Sus scrofa: one gene and its partners. The protein of the gene in region 2 purifies or fractionates together with the protein of the main gene of each other region. This does not show direct contact. Links are inferred from orthologs where the notes say so. Each region holds a gene or a part of one and is shown on either strand. Other genes may lie near its edges.

Region 1 (3,858 bases), on a different chromosome or scaffold from region 2:
TAGAGCTGCTGTTGTGGGGTCACAGCTAGAAGGAACAGTCAGTTCTAGCTCTGCCTACACTTGTCCATGAGACGACTCCGTGTGAATTTCAGACAGAGGGATCGGAACCAAAGCAAACAACAGATCAAAAGCCTTGGGCTCGTTTCCAGAACTATAAATTGTCTGGTGCTATTTGATTGAGTTCCTAGTGGAATTAGTCTTCTTTGGGGCTTTCCTTAACGTCAGAGTCTGTTTTTCCTTTAGAAACTTCTAAAACTGCTAGATTTAATGTGCTTGGCTCTTTTCAAAATACCTACTTGGCCTTTCCACCTTTCTTTGTGAAAGGTGGCACCCACCTTCTCTTTTGCTGCCCTTTCTAGGAAAAGGCTGCTGCCTGACTCAAGAAAGGCACTAATTGTTGTTTGTTTTGTTTTGTTTAATTTTATTGGAGTAGAGTTGACTTACAATGTTGTATTAGTTTCAGGAGTACAGCAGAGTGAATCAGTTATACATATACACATATCCGTTCTTTTTCAAGATTCTTTTCCCATATAGGTTATTATGTTTGTTCTTCTTTTTAAAGCTCAATTCCCTCTTGGGCAAGGTTGATATTTTCCTGAGGCCCCAGGGAAAGGACATTCACATCTGCTCATGTAGCAGGACGGCGTGGGCTTTCCGCCCCAAGAGTCCCAAGGGGTGGGCTGGGTGGTCTTTGGGGGTCTGGGCACTGATGAGCACACAGCCTTGGGAGGAAGACCTTTTGTCTGCCAGGTGTGTTCTTGGGCTGGTGTCTTGACTTGCACTCTGCCCCCAAGGCCAGAAAGCGTAACAGCTGCTTTTTTGTGTGTCTTGATTCCAGATCAGATTGATGAAAATCTCAAACTGGCTTTGCAGCAGGATCTGACCTCCATGGCCCCTGGGCTTGTCATCCAAGTAAGCGTCGCCCTGATGGGAGCACCCCTCCCCCTCAGGAAGGTGCACCCCCACCGCAGGAAGGCACAGCCTGCCCCTTTTGCAGAGGATGCCTTGCAGCGGGTGCTGGATGATCAGGACCCGTAGGAGCAGGTCCCCAGCACCCTCATTTCCCATCAGGTGCTATTTCTGTCCTTCTCCAGGCTGTGCGTGTGACAAAGCCCAACATACCCGAGGCCATCCGCAGGAACTATGAGCTGATGTGAGTATGCCCTGCACCCCCGCTGCACTCCAGGGGCAACCGGTGTGCCAGGCGTGTGGTCCCGTCTTGAGTGTTTGTTACAGCCAGTTGCCCTGTGAGACGGAGCAGGCGTGGCGGGACGCTCCCCTGGGCTCCATGACTGTGACTGAGAGCCGCAGAGCAGCAACGCTCTTAAAAGGGCCAGGGAGCCTAATTCGAGCTTCACGGCTCATGCCAGACAGGGGAGGGCAATTGAGTGGGCAGGCGGGTACCCTTTACTATAGTAAATTATGCTTTATTTCCTGCATGAGTTTTGGAGGCGGCGCAGAGACCTGTGACTGTCTGCAGCAGACCTCCTTTTACCTGAAACGTTAAACGGCCTTTCAGGAGTTCCCTAGTGGCTCAGTGGGTTAAGGATCTGGCATTGTCACTGCTGTGGCTCTGGCTACTGCTGTGGCATGGGTTCTATCCTTGGATGGGGAACTTCCACATGCTGCAGGCATGGCCAAAAAATTAAAAATTTTAAAAAAACAAAAAAGCCTCCCAGCAGAGAGGAGGAAATCACAGCTTGCCTCCCTCGGTGGGAGAGTTTGGCTTCTCCCCGGACAGTGGAATTTCTGTGGAAGCTCATCTCCAGTGGCCTCCCAATGCACACTTTTCTCCCCTCCAGGGAAAGTGAGAAGACAAAGCTTCTCATTGCAGCCCAGAAGCAGAAGGTGGTGGAGAAGGAGGCCGAGACAGAGCGGAAGAAGGCCCTCATTGGTCTGAATGTGCTTCTGGGACCCCCTTTCAGCGCAGAGGGGCTGGGGAGGGTGGGGACATTCAGGGAAGCCTGGAGCGGGGTCCTCCAAAGCCCCACCACATGCAGGGGTGGCACTTATCACCCCGGAAGCATAGCTGAAACTGCCAGATCATGGCCAGGGGTCAAAAGTTTTGAGTTTCCATATAGGAACCCTTCCTGTTCATTCAGAATTCCCCATAATAACAGCGCTCACCCAGCCTTTCCTATGAGCAGCCTTGTGTGTGAATCACCTCACCCCTCAAAACCCCCACATGAGGAAGGCACCCTCATTAATCTCATTTCATGGAGCTAAAGCCGGAGAGGTTAAATCACCGCCCAAGGTCACAAGGTGAAGAAGTGGTGGAAATGGGGTTCAAATCCAGCGACTCTGTTCCCGAACCTGGGTTCTGCACCACTGCACTAGACTATTGGCCACAACCCTAGCTACCTCCTAAAGTGCAGCAGCCGGAGGAAACTTTTTAGAGAGTGCCTTAGTGCTTAAAAAATTCCTTTGGAAGAAATACCCTGTGACTTAAAGGGTTTGCTCCTTGTCAAAGGAAGGACTCTTCCCTTTGGCCCAGGTCCCCTGGGCATTGCCTGGCGCTGACACCCCGTTCCATCCCTGCCCCTGCGGCCTGCCATGGCTCTCCCCCAAGCCAGTGGCTCTTCTCTAGAGCTCACCCATGCCCTGCAGCAGACCCTTGGGTCAAGTGAAAGGTGCTTGGAGTCAAACTTTTTTGAAGTGTCAGCGCTCTAAGCCTTTCCTCAACTTGATTAACACAGAGGCAGAGAAAGTGGCTCAGGTTGCAGAAATCACCTACGGGCAGAAGGTGATGGAGAAGGAGACGGAGAAGAAGATTTCAGAAATCGAAGGTGAGCAAAGGTGAAAACTGAGCCTGCCTTTTCCTCAGGCCCCACTCAGCCACCAGTGGGTGGGAGAGTCCTTTCCCTTACTCCTTAAGCTCTCCTCGGATGTCACGGTTTCTTTTTTTTTTTTTTTTCATCTTTTTAGGGCCTGCATCCATGGCATATGGAGGTTCCCAAGCTAGGGGTCGAATCAGAGCTGTAGCCACCGGCCTACACCACAGCAATGCCAGATCCGAGCTGCGTCTTCGACCTACACCACAGGTCAAGGCAATGCTGGATCCATAACCGCCTGAGCGAGACCAGGGATTGAACCCACAACCTCATGGTTCCTAGTCGGATTCGTTTCTACTGAGCCATGACGGGAACTCCGGATATCACAATTTCTTTGGAGCATCACATTTTCTCTGTGCTCTGATTCGAGATTGGGGGAGATTGGGGCCAGGCTGGCATTCATCTTCCACATCAGAGAGAGTCACTCATTCAACAGACATTAGCTAGGCGGGGCTAGAAGGAAAGGCAGTCACATGGTCCCTGCGGTCTTGGGTTCACAGCCTGGCCTCAGAAGTAAATGGAGGAGCCAGGTCAGAGCAGCAACTTGTTCCCTGCTGCCTTCCCCTCCCCCTCCTCAGAGTCCATGAACTCCGCAGCTTTGGTCTCTCCGGGTCCCTGTGGGTGTGAAGACACCTTTCAGCACCAAAAAGACAAGCGGAAGAGAAGTGCTTTCTGTGCCACTTCTTTTTCTTTATTGGCCGCCCTGCAGCATATGGAGTTCCTAGGCCAGGGATCAGATCCGAGCCACAGTCACAACCTAAGCCATAGCTATAGCAATGCCAGATCCTTAACCCACATGCCTGGCTAGGAATCAAAGCCAGTGCTCCATAGATGCCGCAGATCCCATTGCGCCACAGTAGGAATTCCTGTGCCACTTTTCTGAATATCACTCGCCTTCAGTTCCCTGCCCCTAAGCCCTCACCTCAACCCCACCTTCTCCATGTGGTGCCTTATATCACACAAATTCTAGGCCAGAAACAGGATCTTAGGGCCCAGCTACAGGCTACAAAGTGCTATGTCCATTTAT
Region 2 (4,310 bases):
CAATTTTCATATACATGTATTTTTTTCTGACTCATTTGAAATTAAAAAAGAAATTAAGTTAGAGATATTGTGTCTGTTTTTTTGGTAATTTTTATTTAAAAAGTTTATGGCCAGGGATTGAACCTGAGCCACAGCTGTGACTTACGCTGCAGCCGTAGCAACACCAGATCCTTAACCCACTGTACTGGGCCGGGAATTGAACCTGCGTCTCAGGGCTCCCAAGATGCTGCCGATCCCATTGTGCCACAGCAGGAACTCCCTAGAGACATTGTGTTACCCCTAAATACTTCAGTGAATATTTCCTAAGAACAAGGAAGTACTCTTACCATAACCACAATACAATGATCAAATGTAGAAATTTTAACATTGATACAATATGTAGTCACAGCTAAACCATGATCCAAATTCCAATTTTGTCTTTTGTCCCAATATTGTCCATTAAACCTATTCTGCCTCTCCTTATGCTAGTCCAGGATCCAATTTACAATCATATATCTCATTTTGTTGTCATGCCTCTTTAATCTCCTTTAAACCAGAACAGTTCCTCAGTCTTTCTCTGTTTTTTTCATGATGCTGACAATTATTTTGTATACTGTTCTCCATCTGGACTATGTCATGCTTCCTCATGAAACAAAACATGGGTTACTCATTTTTTTTGGCTGCACCCTACAACTTGTGGAAGTTCCTGGACCAAGATGGAACCTGAGTCAGAGAATCGACCCAAGCTGCTGCAGTGACAATACTGGATCCTTAACCTGCTGTACCACAAGGGAATTCTGAGTTATGCATTTTTGTCTAAAATACCACAGGAGAGATGCTGTCTCTTTCTCAGTGCATCTTACTAAGAGGCACATGCTCTTTACTTGATCTACAACTGGTGATATTAACTTACTGTTCTGTGAGATTATATGTAAAACTACTATTTTCCCTTTGTAATCAAAAAGGAATTTATAGGAGACATTTTGCTGTGTAAATATTCTCTTCCTCTAGTTTTACCATCCATTATTGATTTTCTAACTCCATCATATTTGTTATTTTGCTTCTACTAAAAGGCATAATTTCCCCTTCTCCCCCATTTATTCAATCACTTTTATACCAGTAAAGACTCATGGGTTACCATTTTATTCAATTAGTTAAATCTGTTACTATCAAGTATTTTGATTCTCAAATTGCGACGATTTGGCCATGGGATCTCTTTCAAGTTAGCTCCTGTATCCTCTGACGTATTCTCATCATCCTTACATTCTGGTGCAACAAAACTGTTTGAAACTTGTCTGTACTTTCCCTACACAGACCTAGGCTTTCTGAAAAGCTGGCAAGTGACCCCTACGCTTTTCTGCTTCCTGCCGGCAGGCGGAACCTTAGAGTCCAGGATCTGGGCGGGAGAACAGCGCAGCGGACCAACCTTTTCCGGTTGTGGACGGAAGTCCCTTGGAAAGCTGCGGCTCTGCGTCAGCTGACCAGAGTCCGCGTAGGAGGGACCCGAGGTCCGGCGGGACGGACTATCCCAGCGGAGAGACTGGCTGGGCGGCCGACGGAAGGACAAACTGGAGTGGCCTCGGCGGTGTTAGCTGAGCAGAGGCAGGTACTTGAGAGGCTGGGTTGGCAGCTAGGGGCCGTCCAGGTTGAGGGACGCGGGCGAGGGACCGGGTTCCGCCTTCACCAGGCCCATGGGCGGCAACACCTGAGCCCAGGAACGCAGAGGCAACAAGCTGGCTCTGTTCCGGGCCCTCCGCCCCAGGGGAAGGTCAGGCTTGTGTTGTGGTCTTTCGTCCAGTGATTACAATTTGGGGAATCTAAGGCTCCAAGAAGAGGAAAGGCTGCCAGAAGCTCTCCTAACTTCGAGAACTCAGGGACTCTCTCTAACTCTCTGACTCCCATTCGAGGCCGCCTCTTTCTTGTAAAGGTGCTTTTAATGAGTTTGTCCCCAGTGGAGAGGCCGAGGCCGGTAAGCGGGATGAATAGAGTTGGGCTTGGGAGAAAGAGACCCAGGTTTGAGGCTTCACCACTGACATACATTTGTGTGACTGGGTCTTTACCTGTGCCAGGTCTCAGTTTCTTTTCTAAAACAGGGCCCTGTTTCTCTAAATATGGTTCCCACAGCCTCTGGAGTGCATACTCTACAATGCAGGACTCTTGAGACCTCTTATTTAGAATTTGGGTCCGAACTGGGGAAACTATAGTTTGAATGTTTGCTTTGGGGGACCTGTGCATACTGATGTTTGAAGCCCACTGATTTTTTTTTCTTTTTTAACTAGGATATAGTTGACTTACACAGTTGTGCTAATTTCAGGCATACAGCACAGTAAATCGTTATACATATACCCATTCCTTTTCAGATTCTTTTCCCATATAGGTCATTACACAATATTGAGTAAATTTTCCTGTGCTGTGCAGTAGGTCGTGTTACCCATCTATTTTATATATAGGAGTGTGTATGTATCAATCCCAGCCCCCTAATTCATCCCTCCTCTCCCCATGTTTCCCCTTTGTTAACATAAATTTGGTTTCAAAATCTTTGTGAAGCCCACTGATCTTAAGTGCTTTCCTTCTGTGAGTACTAGATATCTAGTCTTTGCTCTGAGGCAGCTGGAACTTGTTCAGGATCTTGGGGGGGGGGGGAAGGAGGAGGGAAACAGACCAGAAAAGACAGCAGTGGAATGGACCAGACATTATAATGGTGAAGAGAGCTTCTACCTCATCTTTGATGTTAAAAGAGGCAGAAACGAGGACAAATAGGTGGATCCTACAGGAAAATGATTTAATGAAATAACTACATGCTTGTCAGAGGTGAACAGTGTAAGAATGGATTGCCTCTAAAGGTAGTGAACTCCCCATAGAAGGAGCTATTAAGTATTAGATGGACGTCCTTTTCAACATGAACATGTTTGGTTCTAAGTAGTTATTTTGAGTCTAGTGTTGATTGACTTCTTTTTTTCTGTCCTCTTTTCTTGACATCTCCATCCCCCCAGCCTACATCTTCTAGAAGTGAGGCAACTGGGTCCGAACGTACATAATCTTTTCCTGGTTGTCCTGTGTACCATCCTCCTTTTCAAGGACTTTGGAATGGCCCATCTGATAAGGGCTCCTTAAGTGTATATTGAATAACTAGACAGGGTCCCCACCCCATCAGTTTGTAGCTTACTTTTTAGAACAACTTGGAAATGCATCTGAAGACTTTGTGTTTGATGAGGAGAAGTCAGTGAATTCTTTGGATTCACAGAATTGAAGAGTCTGGGTCAGAAAGACCTCTTGAGGATGTTGAAGCCAGCTTCTCCCGCCCAGCCCCAGGACATAAATCCCCCTTTAATCCTCTCTCCAGCAGCATGTTGTACAGATGTGTCTACCCAGAGAATTTATGCAATCTATTAGCTAACTTCATCCACGTTTAAAACCAGTCCTCTGATGGACTTTACTTACTAGTTCATTCTTACATGTAATCTGCAGATAATGCTTCTAGCGTTTCTCTAATTAGTTTTCTAATTAAACATCAAAGTTTCTGGAGTTCCTCTTGTGGCTCAGCAGGTTCAGGACCCAACATTGTCTCTGAGGATGTGGGTTCGAACTCTGGCCTGGCTCAGTGGGTTAAGGATCTAGTGTTGCCACAGCTGTGGCATACATAGGTCACAGATGTGGCTTGGACACTGTCGCTGTAGCTGTGGCGTAGGCCAGCAGCTGCGGCTCCAATTTAACCACTAGCCAGGGAACTTCCATATGCCCAAGGTGTCGCTATAAAAAGAAAAAAACAAAACATCGAAGCTCCTTATTTTATGGTTTACAAAACTCCAAGCAGATCACTTTTTAACAACCTGTTAGAATGCTTACATTGCCCTATGGAGCAGAGGTTCCATGCTATGACCCAATCCTGTTGACATACCCTTGACAAAAAAAGTCTGGGTTTGAGCCAAGACTTCCTGCCTGTGTTTATCTTCCTTTCTTGTTTTGTGTTCCCTACTTTTTTAAAAAGTTGTAAAACACTTATTGAGATATTATCCAGGTGTTGAGTAAAATGATTTTAATTTAGTGGTATCTTTAAAACTTCTCAATATGAAAATTTCCTTTTAAAAAATTACCTATATCAGCATTTCCATAGCGTATTCTTCAGCCTCTAGTCAAGAGGAGATACCTCTGAAAAAAGTGTTTTGTGGTAAAAATAAGTTTGGAAAAAATTACATGTCATTATCCCTTCTTGGAGCTTCTCCGTGTATAGTATTGTGTCAAAGGTACTGAGAGTCCTGCAATAAAGAGGTATGTCTAACCTTGTTGAATCTAGTGTTGCCAGACTTAATTGATGTGAAACACCTTTTTTT
Region 3 (2,426 bases), on a different chromosome or scaffold from region 2:
GGGGTGGTGTTGAACCCAGCCTCGAGCATCTGCTTGACATCCAAGGCCTGCCCAAAAGACACGCAGGCCCAGAGAACGGCAGGCCAGAGGCGCCCCTGCGATCCGAGGAGAGCAGCTGCCTCCCTTCCGGCCCCAGCCTCATCAATGTGCGGCTCAAATTCCTCAATGACACCGAGGAGCTGGCTGTGGCCAGGCCAGAGGATACTGTGGGTGCTCTGAAGAGGTAAGTGGGCTGGGAAGTGGGAGGCTGCTCAAACCCCAAGCCCCCAGCCCTTGGTCGCCTCGGAGGAGGCCAGGATAGAGTGGGGACAGCAGGGATGCATCAGGTCCTGCCCCGCACTTTCTTAGAAACCCGTGCTTAGAAACCCCCTCACCCTGCTTCGCTGGTCCGGGCTTTTCGGTCTTGTCTCATTGCTCGCCCTGTCTCTCCTTCTGCCTCTCTCGTCCTTGCAGTAAATACTTCCCTGGACAAGAGAGCCAGATGAAGCTCATCTACCAGGGCCGCCTGCTGCAGGACCCGGGCCGCACGCTGCGTTCCCTGAACATCACGGACAACTGTGTGATTCACTGCCACCGCTCGCCCCCGGGGTCAGCTGCTCCAGGCCCCGCCGCCGCCCTGGCCCCCTCCTCGGCCACTGAGCCACCGGGCCTGGGCGTCAGTGTGGGCAGCCTCATGGTGCCTGTGTTCGTGGTGCTGCTGGGTGTGGTCTGGTACTTCCGCATCAATTACCGCCAGTTCTTCACAGCACCTGCCACTGTCTCCCTGGTGGGGGTCACTGTCTTCTTCAGCTTCCTAGTATTTGGGATGTACGGACGATAAGGACCGTGGGGAGAAGACGCAAGGCCTGGTCTTCCTCCTTTATGGCCTCCCCCCTTTCCTGGCCAGGGCTGGGCCCAAGGGCCTGGGAGGGAAGGGTGGGAAGGATGCGGTGGGTCTTCGTCCACAGGACACGAGAGGCAGGTGTGGGGGCCTCCCCTTCACGTCCACGAGGGTACGGACGTCCCCTCTGTGCAAGCACAACTCAGGTAGAAATGAGAATGTCATCTTCCTTCACTTTCAAGGTCCTGGAGTTCAGAGCCGAGCCGGTGGCCCTGCTCAGTGGGGAGCCTGGGCTCTGAGGACTCCCTCCCAGCTGCGGCCCTGGCTCTTCCCGTTATCCTGCATGTCTGCTCCTCAGCACCCCGGGCTGCCTGCCAGGGCAGCTCAGCATGGCCCCAGCATACTTGTGTAGGGAGCCCCGAGGCTCTTTCGGTTCCTTAGCGGCATATCCATCTTGACACACAGGAGCGAAGTGTGTGTCAGCTTTCCCTCTGGGCACCTGGCCGCCCCTGCCTTCTCCCTCCAGCCCGTAGCCGGAATAGGGTGTTCTGTGTTCTGGACAGTTGCCAGTGTTCTCCCTTTTTTTCACAGCACTTTGCTTATTTTTTTTTTTTTAATAGTCCTTTATAGAGCTCAGTCAGGAAGGGGATTGGGGCACAAAGCCAAGCCCCCGGCACTGGGAGAGGCCGGGCCACAGCTGCTGCTCCCCTAGGCCTAAGGCTGTAAGCAAGAGGCAGCTCTGGCCCTCAGCCAGCGTCCTACCCTGCCCAGCTCCAAGGACGAGCTCCGGGTACGGAGCACTGGGCCCCAGGCCCTTGTCTCTGGGGCTCTTGGATGGTCAGTATCTGTGACTGAATAAAGTTCCATTTTGTGGCTGTGGAGTCTCCTGTGACATTGAGAGAATGGCTTTGCTCTGCCCCAGTGACGTGGGAATGAGGGTGGGTAGGCCAGGCTACCAACAGGAGATGCAGTTTATTTACACCAGCAGCCATGGGGGCAGGGGGAATACACAGCGTTTACAAAGTTAGCTACCTGTACAGGATGGATTACATATGCAAAAATAAAAATTTCAAGACCACAGGACAGCGTGAGCCCCACCCCCCTCCCCCAATGACCCCAGCATGCGGTAATGCCAGGCGGGTGGCCCCTGGGCATGCGGGGGGGAGTGATGCATGGAAGGAAAAGCCACCGGCCATGGAAATTAGTACAGAACCCCCCCACACACACTCAGACACATGATAGGATACAAGGTGGACGACACCTAGCCGGGGTGGGAAGGGTGGGAATTGAAACCCACACAGCCTGCTGTTAGAAGGAAGGGAGTGGGGAGCTCCTAGCCCCTGTTCAACTACATGGTAGGGGGGGGCACGCGCTCCCCGGAAGGAAGGGGGTTTGCTCCCTCAGGGTCCCTGCTGGACCAAGCCCATCTCTTACCCAGCCTGGGCAGGGGGCTCTGCCCTGAGGGCGGGCCAAGGAACAATGGGGAAGTGGATGTGGACAAACCAGTTCCCAAACTACTTCCCACTTCTCCCTCCTCCAACCAGAAGGGGGAAAGGGAGAGGCCAGAGGGGAAAAGGGTATTTGGGGGCCTGAGCTGCAGCTGCCT

The links. The genes of interacting proteins can lie anywhere in the genome.
Region 1: the proteins of RNF185 (region 2) and ERLIN2 purify together in Homo sapiens (affinity purification with mass spectrometry; 5 studies listed by BioGRID and IntAct, with this or other methods). This does not show direct contact. The link is inferred for Sus scrofa from reciprocal best matches to the Homo sapiens genes RNF185 and ERLIN2.
Region 3: the proteins of RNF185 (region 2) and TMUB2 purify together in Homo sapiens (affinity purification with western blotting; 3 studies listed by BioGRID and IntAct, with this or other methods). This does not show direct contact. The link is inferred for Sus scrofa from reciprocal best matches to the Homo sapiens genes RNF185 and TMUB2.

Annotation. Positions count from the first base shown.
Region 1 is NC_010457.5:48,649,013-48,652,870, reverse strand, and holds part of ERLIN2 (erlin-2), read left to right. Parts: intron 1-838; coding exon 839-912; intron 913-1,094; coding exon 1,095-1,153; intron 1,154-1,802; coding exon 1,803-1,894; intron 1,895-2,696; coding exon 2,697-2,786; intron 2,787-3,858. UniProt on the Homo sapiens protein: Component of the ERLIN1/ERLIN2 complex which mediates the endoplasmic reticulum-associated degradation (ERAD) of inositol 1,4,5-trisphosphate receptors (IP3Rs) such as ITPR1.
Region 2 is NC_010456.5:47,944,963-47,949,272, forward strand, and holds the start of RNF185 (E3 ubiquitin-protein ligase RNF185), read left to right. Parts: upstream 1-1,421; 5' UTR 1,422-1,585; intron 1,586-4,310. UniProt on the Homo sapiens protein: E3 ubiquitin-protein ligase that regulates selective mitochondrial autophagy by mediating 'Lys-63'-linked polyubiquitination of BNIP1.
Region 3 is NC_010454.4:19,019,133-19,021,558, reverse strand, and holds the end of TMUB2 (transmembrane and ubiquitin-like domain-containing protein 2), read left to right. Parts: coding exon 1-223; intron 224-453; coding exon 454-820; 3' UTR 821-1,918; downstream 1,919-2,426.